Linked DNA regions of Nothobranchius furzeri. The protein of the gene in region 2 interacts with the protein of the main gene of each other region in a pairwise test. Links are inferred from orthologs where the notes say so. Each region holds a gene or a part of one and is shown on either strand. Other genes may lie near its edges.

The links.
Region 1: the proteins of ap1b1 (region 2) and ap1g1 interact in a two-hybrid assay, tested with the Homo sapiens proteins (2 studies listed by BioGRID, with this or other methods). The link is inferred for Nothobranchius furzeri from reciprocal best matches to the Homo sapiens genes AP1B1 and AP1G1.
Region 3: the proteins of ap1b1 (region 2) and kif13a interact in binary tests that used the Homo sapiens proteins (3 or more experiments, as listed by UniProt). The link is inferred for Nothobranchius furzeri from reciprocal best matches to the Homo sapiens genes AP1B1 and KIF13A.

The regions. Positions count from the first base shown.
Region 1 is NC_091749.1:59,372,856-59,380,903, reverse strand, and holds part of ap1g1 (AP-1 complex subunit gamma-1), read left to right. Parts: intron 1-4,611; 5' UTR 4,612-4,614; coding exon 4,615-4,815; intron 4,816-4,900; coding exon 4,901-5,025; intron 5,026-5,266; coding exon 5,267-5,408; intron 5,409-5,564; coding exon 5,565-5,661; intron 5,662-8,048. UniProt on the Homo sapiens protein: Subunit of clathrin-associated adaptor protein complex 1 that plays a role in protein sorting in the late-Golgi/trans-Golgi network (TGN) and/or endosomes.
Region 2 is NC_091757.1:46,119,905-46,127,952, forward strand, and holds part of ap1b1 (AP-1 complex subunit beta-1), read left to right. Parts: intron 1-481; coding exon 482-580; intron 581-1,078; coding exon 1,079-1,338; intron 1,339-1,572; coding exon 1,573-1,780; intron 1,781-1,927; coding exon 1,928-1,948; intron 1,949-4,036; coding exon 4,037-4,066; intron 4,067-4,143; coding exon 4,144-4,281; intron 4,282-4,356; coding exon 4,357-4,502; intron 4,503-6,343; coding exon 6,344-6,473; intron 6,474-8,048. UniProt on the Homo sapiens protein: Subunit of clathrin-associated adaptor protein complex 1 that plays a role in protein sorting in the late-Golgi/trans-Golgi network (TGN) and/or endosomes.
Region 3 is NC_091745.1:82,811,038-82,818,402, forward strand, and holds the end of kif13a (kinesin-like protein KIF13A), read left to right. Parts: intron 1-2,847; coding exon 2,848-2,981; 3' UTR 2,982-4,453; downstream 4,454-7,365. UniProt on the Homo sapiens protein: Plus end-directed microtubule-dependent motor protein involved in intracellular transport and regulating various processes such as mannose-6-phosphate receptor (M6PR) transport to the plasma membrane, endosomal sorting during melanosome biogenesis and cytokinesis.

The DNA of each region.
Region 1 (8,048 bases), on a different chromosome or scaffold from region 2:
GTTCTCTTGTTCACTCTTCCTTCTTCCATCTCAGGAACATTGCTAAGCTGAGTCCCATTCTGTCTCGCTCTGAACTTGAGACAGTTCTCCACACCTTCATCTCCTCACGCTTAGACTACTGTAACTCTCTTTTCACGTGTCTGAGCAGAACCTCCCTGAACCGTCTACAGGTGGTTCAGAATGCCTGTGCTCGACTTCTGACCAAGTCCTCCAAACACACCCACATCACCCCGCTTCTCCTCCAGCTTCACTGGCTGCCAGTCAACTTCAGGGTTCATTTTAAGATCCTGGTTCTGGTCTATAGAGCCTGATCAGTGGACTCAGTGGTCTCCTTCAAAAAGCAGCTGAAGACACTTTTTCAAGCTGGCTTTTGTATGACCTTCTTCACCACTCTCTCTTTATTCTGCTCTCCCCACCTATTCCACCTTCCTCAGGATCCACTGATTTCCCTCTTTCCTGTTCACTCTCTCTCTTTCTTAACATTTTTTTAATCACAATTGTCTATTTGTGCTCATTTTAAATATATTTTTAACCATTTTCTAAATGCTTTTTTTATATTTTTACATTTTTTATTTTTGTGAAGCGCCTCGTGATTTTTATCTTGAGAGGCGCTATAGAAATGATATTTTCTTCTTCTTTTTCATGGCCCGTGATGCTTTGTGGGTGACGTCATGAATGGGTGCAGCTCAGGCCAGTGGAGGTGGGGTTGATTGAAACTGACCATTTCATTTCCGGGTACAAAGACAGGCTGATGAAAATAACCCATATTTAAGATAAAATGACATCTCAGTAGTGCCAACGGTAAAACTTTGCCATATACTGTGCTTACCTTTGCTCTCAAAGGTTTAAAATGGCATGATCTGACTACTTTAAAATGTATTTAACAGTTTCACGTATAATTGTGAGTTACTTGCCTATTCCACGCAATGTGTGTGAATATACAGTCTGGCCCCTTTAAAACACCTATGGGTTCATATCAAAAGTAGGAGAGGAAAGCGTAGCTTGTCAATATCAGTTAATGTCCTTTTGCAGACATGTACACTCGGTTGGCCTTCTAGTGGGGTGTTAAGATAAAATACTGGAATGGAGATCTGTTCTGTAAATTATTTTAAAGACCTGCTGAAGTTTAGACATAATTTTTTATTTGTTGGAACATAATTGCTGCAAAGTAATCCATTAAAAGATGCATTTCTCTGATTTATGCCCTGTAATGGCACTGTAGCTGTGTCTTCTTAACTTCCTCCAGCTCAAATTCTGCTGCTGCTTCACTTACTTGTTGACGAGTGAAGGCAGCATCAAAGAGCATCTGGAAACAGACTCTTTGTGTCTTTGTTTGATGCCGTTTTGGTAAAGTTGTTACATCTGCAGATGCTGGTTGCCTTTGAATCAGTTTGAACCAACTAGCAATCATAATTGTGTTTGTCTTTGACTTTGGAGTAGGGATGCCCGTATCGGTATCGGTGCAGATACCGATACGATATCGGTAAAAGTTAACCGATACCAATGCAGTTGCTTGAAAATGGCTTCACTGTAACTTGTCATTTCTGTTCACCTAATATTTCTATTCATATATTTAACTTTTTATCTATCTCACATAGGGTTGTCACGGTATGAAAATTTAACCTCACGGTTATTGTGACCAAAATTATCACGGTTTTCGGTATTATCGCGGTATTTTTTAAACGGTGTTGCATATGTTCAGAAAGCATTGATAGTCCTGTTCTACACAAACTGAAATAGTTCTGAAAAGGTTTAACAGTGTTTATTAAACCTAAAATAACACAAAGCCTTAGCAAAAGTGCAACTTTTCACAAGTAAAGGAACAAATAGCTTATTTTTCTGGAACTTGTTACAGTAGTCAGTGCAGGTTTAAATTATACAAATCCAAACATTCAAAACATAAACAATATGTAAACAAATCAAAGAAACACCACTTGTTTTCTCATATACTTGTTTTCTTCATTATCAAAATGAAAATTAAAACTCCAGTCCACACTTGACTTGAGCACTGTACAAGTCAACCTTAAAAAATATGTATTTAAAATAAATAGCCACTTTAAACAAATTACTAAAATAACTACTACACTATGTAATCAAATCCAAATGTTCAAGTATAAATGGCATTGAATAAGTAAACAAATCCATGACAAGGAACTAATTGTATATTTCTCTTCATCATCAACAAATAAGATGCTTCATCCAGCAACAGGGTGTCCGTGACACGGTTTAAATGCTGGCAGAGGACGCTGCGGCTGCAGTATGTAGTGACTCGTTGCATTCTCCCTCAACCAAAAGTCCTCACGTCATGCATTTCAGCTAAAATGCTAATGTTAACTTACCTTGCACTGGCTGTGGAGACGTGGGTGATCGTCACGCAGATGTGCCATTAGATTCGAAGTGTTGCTGCCTTCTGCAGACACTTGTTTCCTGCACGTTCTGCAAACGGGATAGCCGTCTTCTATTAACTGTCCCTCAGCATTTTTCAGAAATCCCAAATATGCCCATACTTCCGATTTAGTCTTCTTTGAGGGCTGATGGATGTCCTGGGCGCTGCCGTCGCCTCCTTCGGCCATTATTTCAGCTTCAAAGTTTTGGTGCCGTTGCAAATTAAAAAGTGCGTGTGCGCGCAGCGGGAACTTCAGCTGAAGCGACGGTGGCTGGTAAGGGTCATCGCGCCGAAACCGCGGCCACGGTAAACCCACCGAGATAATATAGTTTTTTAAAAACTGGACGGTTATTTTTATTGTCAACTTTTTTACCGGGGTTTACCGCTATACCGGTTACCGTGACAACCCTAATCTCAGTCTTTTCCTGTTGAAAGCAGAGAAGAAAATAAAATCTGTATTCCAAATCATTGCATTTTTTTGTGTGGTAGAAGTATAGATATCAGTAATCGGTATCGGCGAGTATTCAGATCCAAGTATCGTATCGTATCGGTTTGGAAAAAAGTGGTATCGTTGCATCCCTACTTTGGAGCCAATACAATTTAGGATATTGACTGTGTTTACATGCAGCCAGTAACCCGTTCAAAACCCAGTTATTTGCAATAACCTGGTTCGGCAAGGCCATGTAAACACCGGCACGGTTATGCTCATAACTGGGTTTTTAAAAACCGGGCTATTACCCCTGGGGTAACCCTTTTCTAACCTGAATATCAGGTCACGTAAACTCGTATCGGGATAACCCGTTAAAATGTGCACTCTGCGCATGTTCTATTCGCAAAGACTCTTGGTCTTTTGAGTAGATCAGGGGTTGATAACCTTTTCCAATCAAAGAGCCGTTATTACCTGTCTCCCAAGAAAACTCTGGGAGCCTCAGCAGCCGCGGCGTTGTGGGTGGGCCTACCGGGCCTGAGCAAATGCCGATTATTTTTTTTCTTTTAATGCGTCACACATGCCTCCTTTTAAAACATGTTTAAACTGTTCAGAATACAAATCCAGGCTCTGTCTCGCTGGATTGTTGCAATTAAACGTTGTACAGGACGAAACATTACATTAAACACTTGAAAAGGTAAGAAAAGGATCTGATCAATTCTTTTTTCCGCCTCAATTACAGTGATGGAGATAACGGTACAGTGCGCATGGCTCTGGTGTTCGTCTTTGCAACTATCTTCACAAGAAGGCAAAACGGTTAAATGGCAGGGTTAGCATCAATTTGATATTTCCTGTTTTACACCGTTTATTTTGACGGAGAAACCTCCTGCAGATGCGCTGACATTTTAATTATTACGCACATTGCGGAGATAGCTAAATCAATCAAGAAAAGATTACCATCTGAGCATTATACTGGACACTTCACAGTTCAGCGGGCATGTAAGGTGGACAGCGAGCTGAAGATGTGGAGAGGGGCTCGGAGTGCGTTGGTTACAGGCTGCAGAAGAACCAGAGCGCATGCAGGAAGATTCCTCTCACTGAAGCACGTGTTTTCCAAACCCTGTCTCTCACAGAGACTTGTCGCTTAGAAAATGTTCCCTGATTATGAAACTTAGGCTGAATAGCGCTTGTTCCTGTCTCCAATGTGGCGACACATCCATGAGCCTGTCTGAGGCAAAAGTCCAGAATCTCAAATCCTCTCCAGCTCTGAAAGAGCCTATAGAGGCATTTGATTATGCCCAAGCTATGTAATCAGGATATTAGAAGTCCCATGTATACAGGGGCAACTCTCTTTACTTGTGCATGTAAATGGGTTATTCCGAAGTTTTCAGAAACCCAAATACTGACTGCATATAAACGTAATTGTTTTTGTATTTGTTGACTTATGATTCAGAGAGGAATTTTTTAAATGAGAACACTACTTTTCCCACTTTTGTTTATTGTCCTGACTGAAAAAAATCACACATTTTTTTTTTGCATTTGATGCTTTTAAATTAATGCGTATTATAATATGCAAATAAACACAGAATGTTTTTCCCATCTAAGCATATAGCTGTCATAAATATTTAACCCTGTTGCTGGTGTGCTCTCAGAAGCTCCTCTTTTAGGGGAATTGAATTTCTCCCGGCTGCTCTTATTTGCCTCTCCCTAGTAGGACAACCTTTTGTTTTTGTTTGATTTAAGTTTGTGCCATTAGGTTCTGACCTGTATTTTCCCCCTCTGTGACACTGTTTTGCAGACAATGCCAGCCCCGATCAGACTGCGGGAGCTGATCCGGACCATCCGGACAGCACGGACCCAGGCAGAGGAGCGCGAGATGATCCAGAAAGAGTGTGCTGCTATCCGCTCGTCCTTTAGAGAGGAAGACAATACATACCGTTGCAGAAATGTGGCAAAGCTACTCTATATGCACATGTTGGGCTACCCTGCACACTTTGGGCAGGTATGGTTGTGAATGAGGATTATTAAAAGGACTAAAGTCAAATAACTGATGTTGTTGAAGAGTTTATATATTTTTTGTGTTTTAGCTGGAGTGTCTGAAGCTGATTGCATCCCAGAAGTTCACTGACAAACGAATAGGTTATTTGGGCGCTATGCTGCTGTTGGATGAGAGACAGGATGTGCATCTACTAATGACAAATTGCATTAAAAAGTAAGTGGAGGTCATTGTAATGAGTCAGCCACTATAAGTTGTAGCTCAGTCGTGCTTGATGAGACAATTTATCTGTTCATCCTTTAATCTTTCCTGGTCTGCTACTTAACCGTGAACATAACGTTCTGTGTTTTATTTAAGAAACAAGTCATTTTTTGTCTAGATTTGAACATTCGTGGTTGATTCTTTTGTGTACTAATGCTTTTCTGAGACTCATTCGACCATTGTTCTTCCACTCCAGCGATTTGAATCACAGCACACAATACGTCCAAGGCCTGGCTTTGTGCACTTTAGGATGCATGGGATCCTCAGAAATGTGCCGCGATCTGGCAGGAGAAGTAGAAAAGCTGCTCAAAACATCCAACTCGTACTTGAGGAAAAAGGTAAGCATCACTGTCTGAATATAAATACTCTAGATATCTTTGTTTTTACTCGCTGAATACTTGGGATTAGCTTGCAGGTGAACGGAAACGGCTGTAGTTAAACACCAAAAACGTGTTTAGCGTTGAATCAAGCTTTATTTATACATCTGTTGACAGGCAGCATTGTGCGCAGTTCATGTCATCAGGAAGGTCCCAGAACTCATGGAAATGTTCCTCCCAGCCACAAAAAACCTGCTGAGCGAGAAGAACCACGGTAAGTGAAAACGATTTGTCAGGATGCAGTTGTTTCTTTGGGGTGGGGGGTGTGTGGTTGCAGGCGCTTCACACTCTTTCCTGCTACTCGTGGCGTTTTATTGGGAACAGCTGGGGAGCTGATGCTCCTTTTGTTGCATCCTTTGCAGAAGACAGTGGAACTAATGAGCCTGTCATCCACTCTTGGGTTTGTGCTGCACAGCCATGTGGGGCATAAGCCAAACTGAAGGATTTTCATAAATAACATATTCTTTTGCGTCTTTTGCTGATGCTGCAGAGATTTTTTTTTAAGTTTAATGATGCATTCCTGTTTGCGCTCTGTAAATCATTATCTGTCCTTCACTACACACTGTGCATAAATGGAAGACAGGAATAGAGTGGCTCTAAAATGAGCTTTTATATCAGGCACTGCCAAAAATAGCTATAAACTTGCAGATGCAAGCATTGCAAACATTTTTTACCCACAATGTGACAAAATCTCACTTTTACCTACATCGTAGAATTTCTTCTTTGATTTTTGTTACAATTAGGGAATTTTAAACTTTAAATATCTGTGTGCAGTTTTTCTGCACTTTAACTATTAAAGAGAAGTTCTTGGCAGAAATTGTTCACTAAAGGAGATGGCCCCGGTAATCACACTGTTTTCTTTGAAACACTTAATCGTCTTTTATTTGTGTAGAAGCATTGATTTAATAGCCTTGCAGGATATCCTATATATGTGAATAAATAGTCTGGCCATGACACCATATGAAAGTTCAGTTTAGGGGCAGAATCTACGGTTGTCTTTCAAACAGTCTCTGCACGCTATTGGACAATGAACAAAGTGACGTACTCCCCACCACAGATGCTAGTCAACGTGGCAGTCCACCATACACCATCAAATAAAATGCAAAAACATCCTTTTTCTGAATAAAGGACTTAAGTACCTCCATCTGCTCTTGACTCAGTGAAAAGCACAAGTCTAAATGGTCCAAAGGTGATACCAAAGCCATTTTAAACGAGCCGTCGCATCATGCCGCCCACCAAACCGACAGAATGCTGTGATTGGCCAGCCAGCAGACTGCTGAGGCATCTATGGAGCATGGCTACTGTACGTCTAGATTTCTAGGCTATAGATTTAATGATTTTTGCCAAGTTGCGGCTGAGTCAATGACATTTTCTGCTTTAATAGTTTGACTTTTGTTTTTTGTTCACTCTTACTTGTACCCCATCAAATCAGACCGTCTAAACATAAAGGCTGTGTCCAAATTCAAGAGCTCCATCCTTCCGAGATTGCATTTAACGTCACAGCAACGCAACAAGGTTGTTAAAATTTGAAGGATACTCGACACGTGTCCTCAAATGCATTCTCATTGTCCCCAAATTTGAAAGACGGGTCTGGTGCATCCTCACTGCCAAAGGCTGTCCCAGGATTCATAGCAAGCAAAACGGGAGATTTCTGATCTCATAGTAATGGCGGACAAAATGGGAGAGAATTGCACTAATACATTTAAATATGGTAATTAAAAATGAACTCGTGTTTTTGTTTAGCTTTTTTATTTGTGTAAATATATATTTTGTCAAAAATTATAAAATTCCTCAGAAACGAGCTCGTGTGGTAGGTCTCGTATTCATGTGTTGCTGCTAGGTTTAGTTTTACCGCTGTCGTGGTTTCTATACAACAAGACATAAACCGTTATATGGGATATAATAAATACGAAAGCTTGATTGCCCAGACTGTGTTTAGTCATACCTGAAATGACATAACCCCACTGTTCAACAGTAATAGTCGTCCCTGTGAAACATGGTAACTGCCAATTAGATTAAAGCTGCTTTCCTGAGTTTTCCTCTTTCAGAAATTATGTATGATTTGTCAGAAATCCGTAAAAGTGATTATCTTATCATGTTCTGTGATATAATATAAGCAATACATCTTTTTCTTTTTTTTTTTTGCTAAGCGCGCCCCCTGCCCGGTAGACCTCCGTGCAATAGGAAACTGAGCGCCAACCAGAACTAACCACCAGCATTAGACTGCCACTTAGACACCTGAAATTTAAGGAATACCTCGGCTGATGCAGAGTTTATGAACTTTTCACGGACAAGAAAGTCTCTAAAATATAAATATATGAAAACACAACATGACATGAGAATAATACTCGTAAATCAACGTGTTTTAGCTCTGTTTGTCGGCTACAGAAGCACATTTATAAACAGAAACGTGAAGTCGCCATCTTAAAAAAAACAGAACAGCGTTTTTGTGTTATACGCTTGTCAGCCACTAGATGGTGCCATTGGATAAGAGAAATACTCCAGAAGAAAGCAAGGCTTTGTGTCAAAGATGATTTTTTTAATGTTATTTTTATAATTTGTTAACAACTGTGTGCTCTCATCAGCACATTTCACTTTTGT
Region 2 (8,048 bases):
GATGGCAGATTTAAATTAAAATGTAGTGCAGTGTTTTTACCTGAAGAGGGCAGAACACTGACAGTTTTAGGCAGAATATTTCAATTTTAACCAAGAAGCACCAAAGTGCCAAATTATTGACCAAACATGTCTCCAGTACGACTAGACACCCATTTATATAGCAAAAAACGTTGACTTGGCGGTGACTTGCTCTTTAATGACGCAAGTCACACAAGAGGCATTAAACCCATAAAAGACTGTCCCTGTGAGGTAAATGGCTAATTTATCACGTTATTCCCATGAAAAATAATTGTCCATTCCCTTCTTGTGCAGAAGGAAATCCGTTTTACCAAAAAAATTTTTCTTAAATATGAAAACAGTGTTTAACCGTGTTTAGCCAAGGGGTATTTTTAAAGATCATAACAAAGCTGCATTTACAGTCTTAAACATTATACACATGAGTGGCTGTTGACTTGATTTATTCCTTCATTGTGACCTTTAGGTGCAGTTGCAGTTGTTGACGGCAATCGTCAAGCTGTTCCTGAAAAAGCCTACAGAGACGCAGGAGCTGGTGCAGCAGGTTCTGAGCCTCGCCACACAGGTGGGTGGGGGGGACAAATCTTCTGCTCATAAATGGTTTTATCCGTACACACTAAGCTGTCTGATCTGTCCTTTACACTTTTATTCATTTATTTTGTCATTTGTCTTGATCTGACACAGATAGCCATGACGTCTGTTAGGATTTGAGTTGAAAAGATGGGAGATGGATTTGTTTCTTTTTCTAGTTGATGGATAAAACTGTTTGGTGCTTCAACAAAGTTGGCAGAAAGCTGAAATTTGAGTGAAATCTTCCATCATCGCTCACGAGGACTCTTCTACTCGGACATTTTTTTTTAACCGGCTTTTAAGCTCACTTTCCTTTTGCTGAAACTCCATGAAATGTGTGAATGTTACTTATTTTTTTGTTAACAAAAGTGTGCAGTAGCACGTAGCTTCATGCATTCTCCAAATCCCAGCGCCCCAGTGTCTCAATTCTACACTAAAAAGTCTCGACATCAAGTTTTTATTTAACAGTTCACTGTTAAACGCCTTCCTGCAGGATTCTGATAACCCAGACCTGAGGGACAGAGGCTACATCTACTGGCGTCTGCTGTCCACGGATCCTGTGGCTGCCAAGGAGGTGGTTCTGGCTGAGAAGCCTCTGATCTCCGAGGAGACAGATCTGATTGAGCCTACTCTGCTGGAGGAGCTCATCTGCCACATTGGTACTCTGGCCTCCGTTTACCACAAACCCCCCAGTGCCTTTGTTGAGGGCAGCCGGGGTGTTCAGCACAAGAGGCTCCCGGGCAGTACTGGATTGTGAGTCATACGTGTTTTTATTTTAATTTATTTTTCTTTTCCAGTGCAGGCAGAAAGTTGTGTTTACATATGTGGACTTGTCTGTTTGACTTTGTTTCATTTAAACCTTCTGTGTAGCTGTTCTAGGTGGCTGGATAGTTGTGTAAATGGCTAATCAAATCAAAATGATTGTGCAGTTTGTAAATGTGTGTGTTTTATGAATTAATTTCATTTTTTTTTCCTCATTTCTTCCAGAGGGGAGAGTTTGGAGAGCCCAGACACTGGCTCTGCTGCTGGGGGCTCTGATGCTCCACCTGCTGTGATCCCATCCCAGGGAGACCTCCTCGGTGACCTTCTCAATCTTGATCTGACGCCTCCTGCCACCACTGGGCCACCGCCGCCGCCCACCTCTGGCATGCAGCTGGGAGCCATGGACCTCCTCGGAGGAGGACTGGACAGCCTGGTGTGTTTTCTACACACATCAGTTTGATTAACTCTTCTACCTAAAGCAGCTTTTTAACCAAATAACTGTTATTTATTTTTAATTGACATTCTTTATTTTTTCTTGAACTTGCGTGTTCTTTCTTTGTTTAATATGCTGCTCCTGCAGATGGGGGAGGAGTCTGAGCCGGTAACTACAAGGAGGGATGATCTTTACCAGTCATTTAAGCCCATCCTCTAAATATTCATCTAAAAGAGCCCAGACAGTGCTTTTGTAACAGTGGAGTTATTTTGGGATTCTACTAGAATAGCATCAAGCAAAAGCAGCACGTTTGCCGTTCCCCCCCCCCCCCCCCTTGTCACCTCGTCTCTTAAAAGCTCTTTTTAACAGCCCGGTCTGCTCTAATTGGTCAGTCCACCCAGCCAAAGAGTGTTGTTGATGTAACAATTAAAAGTGGGTCAGAGCCGCCTACAAGCTGTGTACACTCAGAGAATGTTAACAGGGTGGGACGCTACTCTACTCTCGTCGCGTCACTGAAATCACCATGAAAACGGCAGCTGATGAGTCTGTTAGGACCATCTCACTATTTCAGTCCTCCTTTTCCTGTTCCAAGTCTTCTAGATACGATCAGGCGGGGAGGTGATGTGTAAAGGGTGCTATGGAGGTGTTTTGTTTATGCCCTCATATGTAACCCGTTACAAATAACAGTTGTCATTGTTTTTGGTCTTTTATGGTTATCTACTGATAGAACTCGCATAAATTAACATCTTTGAAATACATTTTCGTTATTGTCATTAAATGTTCCAGCTTTTTCCTAATGATCACCGTCTGGTGAAGGGTCAAAACTCCTGACTCTCTTGGGAGTTGTTTTATGTCTCGATGACAATTTTATTTCTGGCACAAATTTAAAAAGTCAGATTATTGGTCATTGGGCCTGAACAATCTTCGTTTTTCAATAGAAACTGCGATTCATTAATTTTTTTAAACGATGTGATCTTGTAATCGTCAAAACAGGTATTTATTTCATAAAAAATTTTTTTGCAGCGATCGTGACTGATCCTGACCTTTTATATAAATATTTTACACATCTAGGGTTATCTCAAGGTTTTAGAAGAGCTACAGCAACAGCAGCGAGCGGCTGTGGAGGTTACGGGACCCTGATGCTTGAGTTTGCAGCGGGATATAGTTTTATTTATTTTTAATTGGTAATTTTCTTTTTCTGTGGCACTTCTACTGTATATATTGGTCATAGCTGTGGTTATCTGTCGCCGTTGCTCATTTAGTGGCCGAGTCTCATTTGCCCGCTTCCTGCAACAGGGGAAAGGGAATTACCAAGAAACTATCTTTGTGGAGTTGAGGTAAATATGGTGTTAGCGCAGCGCTTTTTGTGCTTATTTGAGTAATAACTTTTCATGTGGTGATGGTGTGATGGCATTTCCTGTCATGTTTGTAAATATTACTGTACGTTGTGATTATTGCGTGGAAGTGAATCAATCTGATGAATTTTCACAAAATCATTCAGCCTTACTTGTCGTTACGTTGACGAACTCAAAGCGTCTGTTAAGTGGTGCCTATAAAAACGTGTTCTAAAGACCAGGAGAACGCAACTCCTACAGATTCTCGTAGAGTCTTGCACTCGCACAAGCCCGTGTGATACGATCAGCACAGCGTGGGCTCTTTATTCACTTACCCGTAGTTTCCATACACTATCATCTCATATTGTCGTGACATTTATCATGTTAAGTCTCACTCCATCTCTGTTGTCTTTGGATCGTTCATCTTCTGATCAGCTGCCCATTCCCCTGCGCTCGGACACTCGGTCACCTCAGGTTCCACATCAGTCCTCATCGTCCCCAGATTACAGCCCCACTGAGGTTGGTCCTGGAGGAGCACGCTGGACCAGTAAAGGCCAGCATCAGCCTAGAGCTCAACACCACTTGTCCCTCTGCTGTCCCATGTCCTCTCGGTAGCTTTGTGTTGCTCTGCTTGTTTTCCTGCTCCATCTAGTTAGGGTTCCAGTGTTCCGTCTCTCTTTAGGTTTGATCTTTGTTTTTAGTCTTTAAAACGCTAAAGACAAAGTTATCGAGCTGCATTTGAATGAAACCAATCACTTGGGTTTGTCTGCAGACATCTCCCTACTGTTATTTGTTACAGACCACCCCTCCTCTCATCCTCCTCCACCCCCTCAGAAGATCCTGTAGTTTTAACATCAACTTTTATTCATTTATGATGTTTTGTTCACAATGAGTTTTTCTTTTCCTTTCTCCTCGTGTTCAGCTTGGCGGAGACCTTGGAGGAAGCTCTGCTGTAAGTCGTTTTCTAGTTTTCTTAGGCCTTCATCGCTAATGCAATGCACCATTTCACGTGTTCTCTGTGACCCACAGATGGGAGCTGGTTTTGGTGCTGCTCCAGCCGCATCGCCAGCCTCGTTCAGCGCTCCTGTTAGCGGCGGCCTGGATGACCTGTTTGATCTTGGAGGTGGAGTTGGGATGCCCATGGGAGCCTACAACCCCCCCAAAACGGTGAGTCCATGTGCTGGAATGATTCCCTAAAGGAGTTCATCATGGGTGGCTTTTAAAACCAGCCTCTCTGTTTAGGTTTGGCTCCCAGCCATGAAGGGAAAGGGCCTGGAAATATCCGGCACTTTTGCCCGCCGGGCCGGAATCATCCAAATGGAGATGACCCTGATCAACAAAGCGATGAGCGTCATGACTGATTTTGCCATCCAGTTCAACAGAAACAGGTAGGAAGAGCTTTTATCTTACAGCTATTTTCATTTAAAGGGATACTTTGCAACTTGTTCATATTTTTAAATAATTTTCTTGAGCTAAAATGTGCTAAAATGACCCTTTAATGAAGTGTCACTCAGACCCCCACAGCCCTCTGGCCAGAATACCTCATTTGCAACTTTGGAGTGTCGGTCCGGTCTAGTGGACTTGGAAATGGAATAAAATGAGCTGACATATCTGGCACTACAGTCTGCTTCCAGCACGTTTCCTGCATGTTTTAGATCATGAGCACAGCTGATTTGTTTAATTTAGTGATGAATCACTCCTGTAGACACTAATGAGGGCTGGGAGACGTTTCAGCTGTTGGATTAAAGGGATATTATGGAAGTTTGACAGCCCAAACATGTATAGAAATAATACATTTCTTCTACATGCATTCTACTGCAATGCCCTGGTCCTGTAGAATGAGCCCTGGCATTTTTACTGTGATTGCCTGTTTTTCTGTAAGATCACAGAAAAAGAGAGATGCTCGGGTCGAGCAGGCTGCTTCATGCGCGTTCACGCTCAGGCATCGCCCGTAGCATTTGCTATCAGTAGCTTTAGCAGCAGAGAGTGAGGTAGTGCCACTTTGTCGCTGTTCCTAATGCCTAGTGACAAAGCTAGCTACATTTCTGAGGACGCTTAGCTACTTTCTGTAGAACTTTCTTCTAGATATTTCCTGCAAATTAGCAACAAAATAGCCATTTTCGTTTCGAACCGTTCTTTGGTTTGACGTTGTTTCAGGTGTCGTCAAGGATATAAAAGTTACAGAGAGTGTCAATGCTACTAGAGTGTAGCTCACCTTGTAAGATGTCTGACTCCCATGCAGAAGACCTGGGTCCGATTCTGGATGTGAACATAATTTATTTGGAGTTTCTTTTTTACATTAATGGTATATTTTTTTCCGTAAGATGCCCAAATTTTTATTTGAGACTCGCCGAACGGCATTGAATTCACAGATAAAAAAGATGTGGGTTCAACTTTCGTTTTGGAACAACTTTCCAAGCAAGGGAAGGGAATGATCTGAGCATGCAGGAGGACTGACCCATCATAAACCTTTGTCGGCTGTGCTGAAGAGAAAGGTACAGAACCAAATTATTTAAGCATGAAATTTTAGAGAGAAAGATCATAAATGTTAAGTGCTCGCCTCGCAATCGGAAGGTTGCAGGTTCGAGACCCGCTCAGTCTGTCGCTGTCGTTGTGTCCTTGGGCAAGACACTTAACCCACGTTGCCTGCTGGTGGTGGTCGGAGGGACCGGTGGCGCCAGTGCTCGGCAGCCTCGCCTCTGTCAGTGCGCCCCAGGGCAGCTGTGGCTACATTGTAGCTCATCCCCACCAGTGTGTGAATGTGTGTGTGAATGGGTGAATGACTGATTGTGTTGTAAAGCGCCTTGGGGGGTTCCAGGACTCTAGAAGGCGCTATATCAAATACAGGCCATTTACCATTTTACCATTTAATTAGCTGCGCGTTCTCCTGTCCCCCCCCCCCCCCCCCCCCCCACACACACACACACAGGACTGTCTCAGCTGTCATTTTTGTCAAGGAGTGTGCACGTACAGCATGCACGCCTCGTGCACGAGCCTACTATTGAAGCTGCCGTTACGCTTTTGGCCTGAGGGGGCAATCACGAGCATAAAAATTCAAAAGTCTGTAAAGTCCCTTTAAGGTGTAAAAATGTTGAACGCACAGCAAGGAGATGAGATTTGCTTTTGGTTCTACAAACGGGCACTAGGGGGTGCTAAAAGTGCCAACTGTCTAGTCACCATTTGAAAAACAGATTTTTGACCCTTTTATCCACTTTGTGTTTCTCTGCAGCTTTGGCATCGCTCCAGCTGGACCTCTCCAGGTTCTAACTCCTCTGAGCCCAAACCAGACCATTGAGGTGGCCCTTCCCCTGAATACTGTTGGACCCGTTATGAAGATGGATCCACTCAACAACCTGCAGGTGAATTATCCCCTCTGTGCTTGTGCCGCTTCTTGTACAAATCACTTTAGACGTTTTATGTTTAATCAGTTAATTTAATTTTGACTCCATAGTATCGCGACTTGGATAAATTACCGGATGTCGGTCTAAACCGGAGAAATGATGACTGATAGAGATTTGTTACGCAAGAGTGAGACTGTTGAGTCAGTGTCCTGAAAGTCTGCCAATCTGTAATGCACCTTTGCTCTTATACACCCATGCTGTGCTTAAATATGAAAAAGACAGACTGTTTCAAAAGGTTATTTGAAAAAAAAAAAAAAAAAAACAGCTGGTGTCTGTTTGGTTCTGGTCAGGGTGGTTCCTTTTAACTGGGCAGAATGGTGGACGGCTGCAGCTGTGGAGAGAAGATAAGAGTGAGGAGGGATGATGGAGGTTAGGACAGTCATTAGTCGACACATGGCTCCTTTGTCTAACTAGGCCTCAGTGGTGCTGCTAACCTTTCTACTCTGCTGCCTCCTGGCCCTGTTTTGATGGGACCAGCTGTCTGATTTGACAGGTTCCCAAATATGATTTGTTCTGCCGGTTCCTAGGTTTATCTATCACACGGAGCCATTAAGCCCTTTCATATTTGTTTAAAGAAATGTCAGAACAGTTTTTTTCATAGCTCTTCATCTTGGATAATCAAATCAGCAGGTTTAGGGGACACGATTCGGTGCCCTTGGTTGGCTGTTCAGCTGCCATTAATTCTTCTGCAAGGACACAGCAGATAAAATGCATCACAATTGTTCTGTGCTTACGTAAATGTAAACCCAAAACATCTGGATCTGGCTCATCTCAGATTCATCTTGACATGCCCAATAAATGTGCGTTAAACATCCAATGTGACTAATCAGCACATCATCACCAGCTGAACTGAACCAGTTGATCTCAACTCCTCATCATTTTAATTGGTTTGAAGCATCACAATCAGCTTTCTCGTTAAATGCATGACTGTTGCTGCTGATTAGCATTTATGATCTTTCTCTCTAAAATTTCATGCTTAATCACCATTTAATGATTTCCTTGTGGATTAGCCGGGTTAGCCGGAGCAGGTGCAACAGAAGACAGCCTACATTACTTATTCAGTCCTTCTGTTTATTATCTCTAGATTTTGTCATTGTTTTTGTTTTATTTATTTATTTGATCTACTGAATTTTAATATAATGTGCGGGCCTTTTTCAGCAATCAAAATATTCAAATAAAAACACACACTTGAGAACTTGGCTGCATCTAGTGGAGTGTGACATTTAAACATGGAAAAATATTCCAAATGAAGTATCCATTCTTTGCACTTGTATGAGGACCTCTTGGTCAGTGAAGGACACAGCGATGCTTTATTTCAGAGCTTTAATGTCTTGAAAGCTGAATGTCCGTTAGCAGTGCTGCACCTTTTAGCCGCCCAGGTTCACTGAGATACCCTTTTTTACTGGTTTTAAATACAATTGGCCACTCGAAGAAAACATGCAAGCTGAAGAAGGAAATGGTCTTCTACTCCTATCACCTGCATTAGCCGCAGGAACAAAATGGACGAGGGGATGCAAGGATTAGAAAATCCTG
Region 3 (7,365 bases), on a different chromosome or scaffold from region 2:
AGTGTATCCTCCAGCAGTCTAAGCCTATAGCAGCATAACTACAGAGATTACTCTGGATAATCTATCCTATTTAGATGGAGGCATGTTGGAGGCAGGGCAAGGGAGAGCCGTCTTTACCGACTGTACACTCCACCTCCCTCTACTCCCCCACTTGTCCAGATTTAGGCTAACATCAGATTTTAACCATAGGCCCTATCAAATAAAAATGTTTTAAGCCTATTCTTAAAAGTAGACAAAGTGTCTGCCTCACGGACTAAAGCTGGGAGCTGGTTCCACAGGAGAGGAGCCTGATAACTAAAAGATCTGCCTCCCATCCTAATTTTAGATATTCTTGGAACCACCAGTAGACCTGCAGTCTGAGAGCGAAGTGCTCGGTTAGGAACATATGGAACAATCAGATTCCTAATGTATGATGGAGCTTGATTATTAAGAGCTTTATATGTGAGAAGAAGGATCTTAAAATCTATTCTGAATTTAACAGGTAGCCAATGTAGGGAAGCTAAGACAGGAGAGATATGATCTCTCTTTTTAATTCTCATCAGAACTCTAGCTGCATCATTTTGGACAAGCTGAAGACTTTTAACTACATTCTGTGGACTTCCTGAGAGTAATGAATTACAGTAATCCAGTCTTGATGTAATAAATGCATGGACTAGTTTTTCAGCATCACTCCTGGAAAGTATGCTTCTAATCTTAGCAATATTCCGAAGGTGGAAAAAAGAAATCCTACAAACTTGTGAAACCTGGGATTTGAATGACATGTCCTGGTCAAAGATAACACCAAGGTTCCTTGCTTTGTTCGCGGAGATTAATGTAATGCCATTCAGGTCAGGTGATTGGCTAAGCAATTTCCTTTTCTGGATTTCGGGTCCAAAGATGAGAACTTCCATCTTGTCTTGATTTAAAAGCAAAAAGTTTAGAGTCATCCAATTTTTTATGTCCTCAAGACAAGCCTGTAATCTACCCAACCGATTAGGTTCATCAGGGTTAATGGATAAATATAAGTGAGTATCGTCAGCATAACAGTGGAAGTTTATCCCATGCTGTCTAATGATTTTACCAATTGGGAGCATATATATAGTAAAAAGAATTGGTCCAAGCACTGAACCCTGTGGTACTCCCCAAGTAACCCTGGAGTATGAAGACGATTTGTCATGTACGTTTACTAAATGAAATCTGTCAGACAGGTAGGATTTAAACCAGCCTAACGCTGTTTCTTTGATCCCTACAACATGTTCAAGTCTTTCTACAAGAACATTGTGATCAACTGTGTCAAAGGCAGCACTGAGATCTAACAAGACTAGAACAGACACAAGATTCTTATCTGAGGCCATGAGAATATCATTTGTAACTCTCACTAATGCAGTTTCAGTGCTGTGATACTCTCTGAAACCAGACTGAAATTCCTCAAACAGAGCATTAGTGTTTAAATGCTGACATACTTGGATGGCCACTATTTTCTCCAGGACTTTGGATAAAAATGGAAGGTTAGATATTGGTCTATAATTCATTGGGTCATCTGGATCCAGAGAAGGCTTCTTAAGTGAAGGTTTGATTACAGCAACCTTAAAATCTTGTGGTACATATCCATTTACTAAGGATAGATTGATTGTATCTAGAATGGGGGCAGTAACCAAAGGAAATGCATCTTTAAATAATTTGGTTGGGATTGGATCCAAAATGCAAGTTGAAGGTTTAGATGAAGCTAATATTTTTGATAACTCTGAAAGCTCAACTGGATCAAAACAGTTCAAGCACAGATGAGGTTCTACAGTCACCTCTGAAGCTGCCTCACTGAGGAAGAAGAAATCGCATTAGGGAGGATGCTAAAGATTTTGTTTCTAATAGAATTAATTTTACTTGTAAAAAATCCCATGAAGTCATTGCTGCTGAGGGCTAAGGGAATAGATGGCTCAGAGCTATGATTCTGTGTAAGTTTAGCAACTGTACTGAAAAGAAATTTAGGATTATGCTTATTCTCCTCAATTAATGCTGAAAAATAAGCAGTTCTAGTTTGTTGAAGCTTATTTCTATAAAGCACAAGACTATTTTTCCAGGGTAGGTAGGCCTCCTCATGGTACGTAGAGCGCCATGTTCTCTCCAATTTCCTAGAGTTTTGTTTTAAGGCTCGTAAATGAGAGTTAAACCAGGGAGCCAACTTCCTGTCCCTAATTACCTTCTTTTTTAAAGGGGCAACATCATCTAATGCCACACGTAAAGAGGAATTAACATGATGAACTAAGGCATCAATTTGTGAGGGGCTAGAACTGAAAATATTGCCCTCTGCTACGTTCCTCTGAGATGCTGAGGACAGTAAAGATGGAACAGTTGATTTAAAAGATGCAACAGCGTTGTCAGATAGAGACCGACTATAGTGAAATTTACTTTCATGTCTCGAGAACTCAGTTATAAAAAACTCAAAGGTTATCAGAAAGTGGTCCGAGAGGACTGGATTATGTGGAAAGATTGTTATTTCCTCACACTCTATGCCATAAGTCAGCACAAGGTCCAATGTATGATGGCAGGAGTGGGTGGAGCTATGTATTCTTTGAGTAAAACCAATTGAGTCTAAGATATTACTAAAGGCTACATTGAGGCAATCATTTTCGATGTCCACATGAATGTTGAAATCCCCCACTACAATGACCTTATCAGTATTTAGCACCAAATCAGATAAAAAAATCAGAGATCTGATCCAAAAACTCTGAGTAAGGGCCTGGTGGACGATTTAAAACTACAAACAAGAGTGGTTTTACAGTTTTGCAATCTGGATATATTTTATATGTTACAAATGAGACTATAAATGACAGGAAAACAAAACAAATGTCTTTTACTTGTCCCTTTTAGGTAAGCACAATGGGACTGTCCAGGGAAGAGTGTACTTCCGCTGCCCCCCAGGTCACGGTGTGTTCGTGAAGCCATCACGGCTCAGCAGAGGACCCCCTTCCACGGACGCAGAACCGCAGACTGTGGTCAGATAGACCCAAAGAAGAACTGGTTTTCTGATCTAATTTCTGACCACTTGAATCTTTGAGCTGATTGTTTCTGTTGGTTTGGTCGCTTTGCTGATGCTTATTTTACTTGTGCTTTTAATCGAAGTATTTTGTAGTTGATGTTCACTGAAAAAAATCCCTATGCACATATCTGAGTTTCCTGTGTGGTTGTATTTTTCTAAACTTTTGACTGGGAATGAAATTTCATTGACATTTTCTTACATTGGTTCTGAAGTACATATAGTATTTTTGTAGAACCGTTCATCCCTCCCTCTCTCTCTGAGGCCTGTAATGAAGTGATCTGGGGTTTGAGGAACAAGAATGTACTACTGTTAATAAACATTGATATATATGTACGTCAGTATGATATATCAGGGTTAACCAAAGAGTTACAGTTCCATATCTGCTGTTACGACTGCTATTTTTTAATACACATAAATGGAAATTTTCACTGTAAATTGATGCATCCTAGTAGAACTTAGTGCCATATCTCCAGAGGTAATGCCACATAACCCATAATCAGGACAAACCAGCCAATCCTGAGGGCTGTTTTAGGTGTTTGTAGTGTTATGTTATGTTGATGTACCCGTTCAGCCTAGATGGGAAACGATTGCGGTGGAAAGGGTTCTTGAAGAGGACTGTTTTCTGTAGTAGGCTGATGAAAACTGGACAATGATGTGTCGTTCCTCAAATCAGTTGAAGAAAATTTTATCTGTTTTATTTGCATTTAAAGAGGCACATAGACCCCATACTGTACAGTGAGTGTGTAACTGTCTGAAACATGTGGATCATGAAGCTCAGTGTATTCAGAGCACTATCCTGCCTTGCTGTTGGACTGATAATCAGATATGGTTATGTTAAGATAACGCTGCAGAGCTTCTGAAGTGGTTTTCTATGGAAAATTCTTGAACAATAAACACTTCATCTATTGTAGGTAGCACTTTGAGTGACCTTAGTTTGGAGAAGTTAATTTGTACAACTCCAAGCTGTATTCAGATGCCAGTATTCCTTTTTGGACTTAACCCAGCTCAAGCTAGATGTTCCATCATGAATTCGGTGAGAATGTTTGTTTTATCCAAACTTATGTTGCTATCTACAACAGGTAAGACCTCTATCCAAAAACCCACTTCAAACGATCCAAAATGTTTTAAGTGGAAGTTGTTTAAATTAAAAGATACCGTTTGGCACGTAAGATTTGATTAATAATTTAGAGACTGGGCCTGGGAGGGACGAGAGGGAACGGCGCCTCTAACTCAAACAATGGTTGCTGGAGAAGACAATAACTTCCGTAACTTGTGTTCAGAGGAGAATGAGCTCCATTCTTAGTAATTCCTCTCCTGCAGATGTGTCTAGGCTGTCCCAGTCAGGATTGAGCCATGGCTGCTAAAAATGTTACAAGGCTGACTGACTTTAGTGATGTAGTGGTTGTAAAATACTGAATAAAATGTTGAGCTGCTTGACTGGTTTTATTTTTACTCTCACATGTAGCTTTATGACCTGCTAGTTTACAAGTGGATCTCCAAAACCGTCTCCCAAGTGTATCGTGAGTAAAACTCGTCAGCCATTCACCAACATCACCATCACTAGTCAACAGATAGCAGACTAGCTGTATGGCTAACGGAGAAGAAGAAACTGATTTGGTCTCAGGGATTACTTCAGTTCTGTTATCAAGACGGACTTTTTCAGTGAAGCTGATCGTTTTTACGAGAGTCCGTCCAACCCTGTCGCTAGTTTGTATTTCAGCCAGAGGCGACCCAGCCATGACCTCCATCAGAATCAGAATACTTTAATAATCCCAAAGGAAATTTTATCTAGAAGAGTAGTTGCTCCAGACAATAGGATAAAGATGGGAAATATTAAAATGGCCAAAGAAAAGGACTTACTGATGGAACTGAAAAGCTTTATGACAGAGTAGTTGAAGTCTTCCTGCGTGGAGAGGAGGATGGTTTGTGTCTATAAATAATCATCAACTTTGTTGAGAGTTTTGATTTGATTTACACGTTAAACCAAATTAATAAATACATTTTTAGCTGCTGATCATGAACTGCAGCCAGTAGCGGTGATGTTGCAGCTGTAATGTTTTAAGATTTTAAAAGGTCTTAACGGGGTTTGTTATTGTCACAATGGTATTCCCTCTCAATACACAAATTATCCTTCTTAATACTTAATGACTGAACAAACATCCATGCGTAATCTTACGCAGCATCCTGGCACTCCCCCCCCCCCCCCCCAGTCGTGGAAACCTGAAGAAAGTATTTCAATAGACTTCTCTCTTTGTTATTAGAATAAAACACCATTAGTGACGCCGTCATGGCTGCCTGTGACTTACCCCGGGTTTCCACGGGAGCCGTCAGCAGCACGTTACTGCAGCAGCACGTCTTGCTCGCGTAAGCTGCTGCTTGGCCCTTCCCACGAGACATGAAGCAGCAGGGGAGCAGCAGTCACCGACCGAGCACGAAGTCACACGAGTGACTTCGTCAGTAAACACAACAACAAGCAGGAGAAAATTACAACATGGTTTGTGTTTTATGTTCTGTCTGTTTTATAATCGCCAATACAGACCTGAAAAACAAAGGAGACCGCTAGCTAGGTGATAACTTCTCACGGGGACGCACAGTTAGTAACCTTTTTTAAAAGTAAAGCAACCGGAAGGCAGTACGTTCTTTATTCTGAAAATCTCGGTAGCTTCTCTCCATTTCCGCATCCGATTTCCTGTCTTTCCTTCCCCAAAAATGTCGAACTTGACCCGTTTCAGAGGCGTCGCGCGTAGAAAATAGAACCGGCGCGTGAAGGCCGCAACATGCTGCTCCTGAGACGCAGCCGACTCGCGCTGCTGACGGCTGCCGACGGCTCCAGTGGAAAAGGTTCTGTTGACCACAGCGGTTCCTATCAGCAGCTATGACGTGCTGCTGCAGTAACGTGCTGCTGACGGCTCCTGTGGAAAGCCGGGGTTAGGGTTACATGGCCTAGCACCCCTGTATCTGTCAGAACTCCTTACACCACATGTACCGGTGCGTTCCCTAAGACCAGCTGACTGACTACTGTCCTGCACCCCCAAAATGATCTATAAGGTGTTATTCAATTCAAATTCAAAGATACTTTTTTAATCTCAGAGGGAAATTAGAGTTTCAGTACACACAATTCTGAGGTCAGACATACATACATAGACACATGACAAGAATTGGTGACTGTGGTCATTCGCAACCCGAGTCGCGCTGCTGTTATAGATCAAGAGGGTTTATATGAGGATAGAGTCAGGGGGAGGGGAAGAAAAGTCACTTCAGAGTTACCCTCAACAGGGAGGGTAGCTTTGCTATGCAAAAAACCTCAGACAGATATGCAACAAACTTCAGACATTACACAACATAAGTGTCCACTAGGTGGGGAGGTAGGGTTGGGACTCTCCTCACTTCAGTGCGTGCAGCCGCATGGGGCAGCGCTCATCACCTCCGTTTGGACAGGCAGAGGCGGAGCTGGCCTAAATGGCGCCCTGTGCGAGATCCCCCGTAACCCCCCCCCCCACACACACACACACACACACACAAGAAAAAAAATTACACCTACAACTTTGTTTCAAATTGCGTGGAGTGTATTATATATAACAAAGTTTGCTAACTGAATACAACATCCAGCTCCTGGCCACCTTCTCACCACTTGTCAAAGTTCTACTGAAATAGTGATGATGACAACACCTGCCATCGCCTTCATTCCTGGGAAATATGAAAGTAGTTGGCACCTTGGTAGGTTCTCTTCGAACTAGCTCTGTGCGTATGCTGTCGGTAATTGGTGAGGACCACTTGGCTGGGTCTGAAGAAAGAGGCTCATCATCACCTTCAGTGGGACTCATTGGTTGATCGTTCAGGCTTCTCTATTGACAGAAAACAGAAGCGTAACTCAACACATTGCTATGTGGACCATTTCACATATTCTATTCAAATGCAATATGTGACATTCAAATTTCTCTAATGTTTGCAGGACACACACACACACACTTGTGCAAAACTTACCTGACGTATCTTGTTGGGGAGACGTGGCAGCTGGCTGTCCCTCATCAAGTTCACATATACTGGTAGGTCTCTCTATTGACAGAAAATGGAAGCATAACTCACCACATTGCTATATGGAACAATTGCCATATTCTGTGAAAATACTATTTAAATGTCTATAGCTAAATGTTTGCTGGACATACACACACACGTGTGCAAAACCCACCTAAAGTATCTTCCTGGGGAGATGTGGTGCCAGCAGACTCTCCCTCCTCGAGTTCAAATACTGGCCTATGAGCAGTGGAGGTAGTTGGCTGTTCCTCAGTGGCAGCTGATGTCATCCCAAAATATCTGCGTAGGGCTCCTGATGTTGCATAAAACAAACA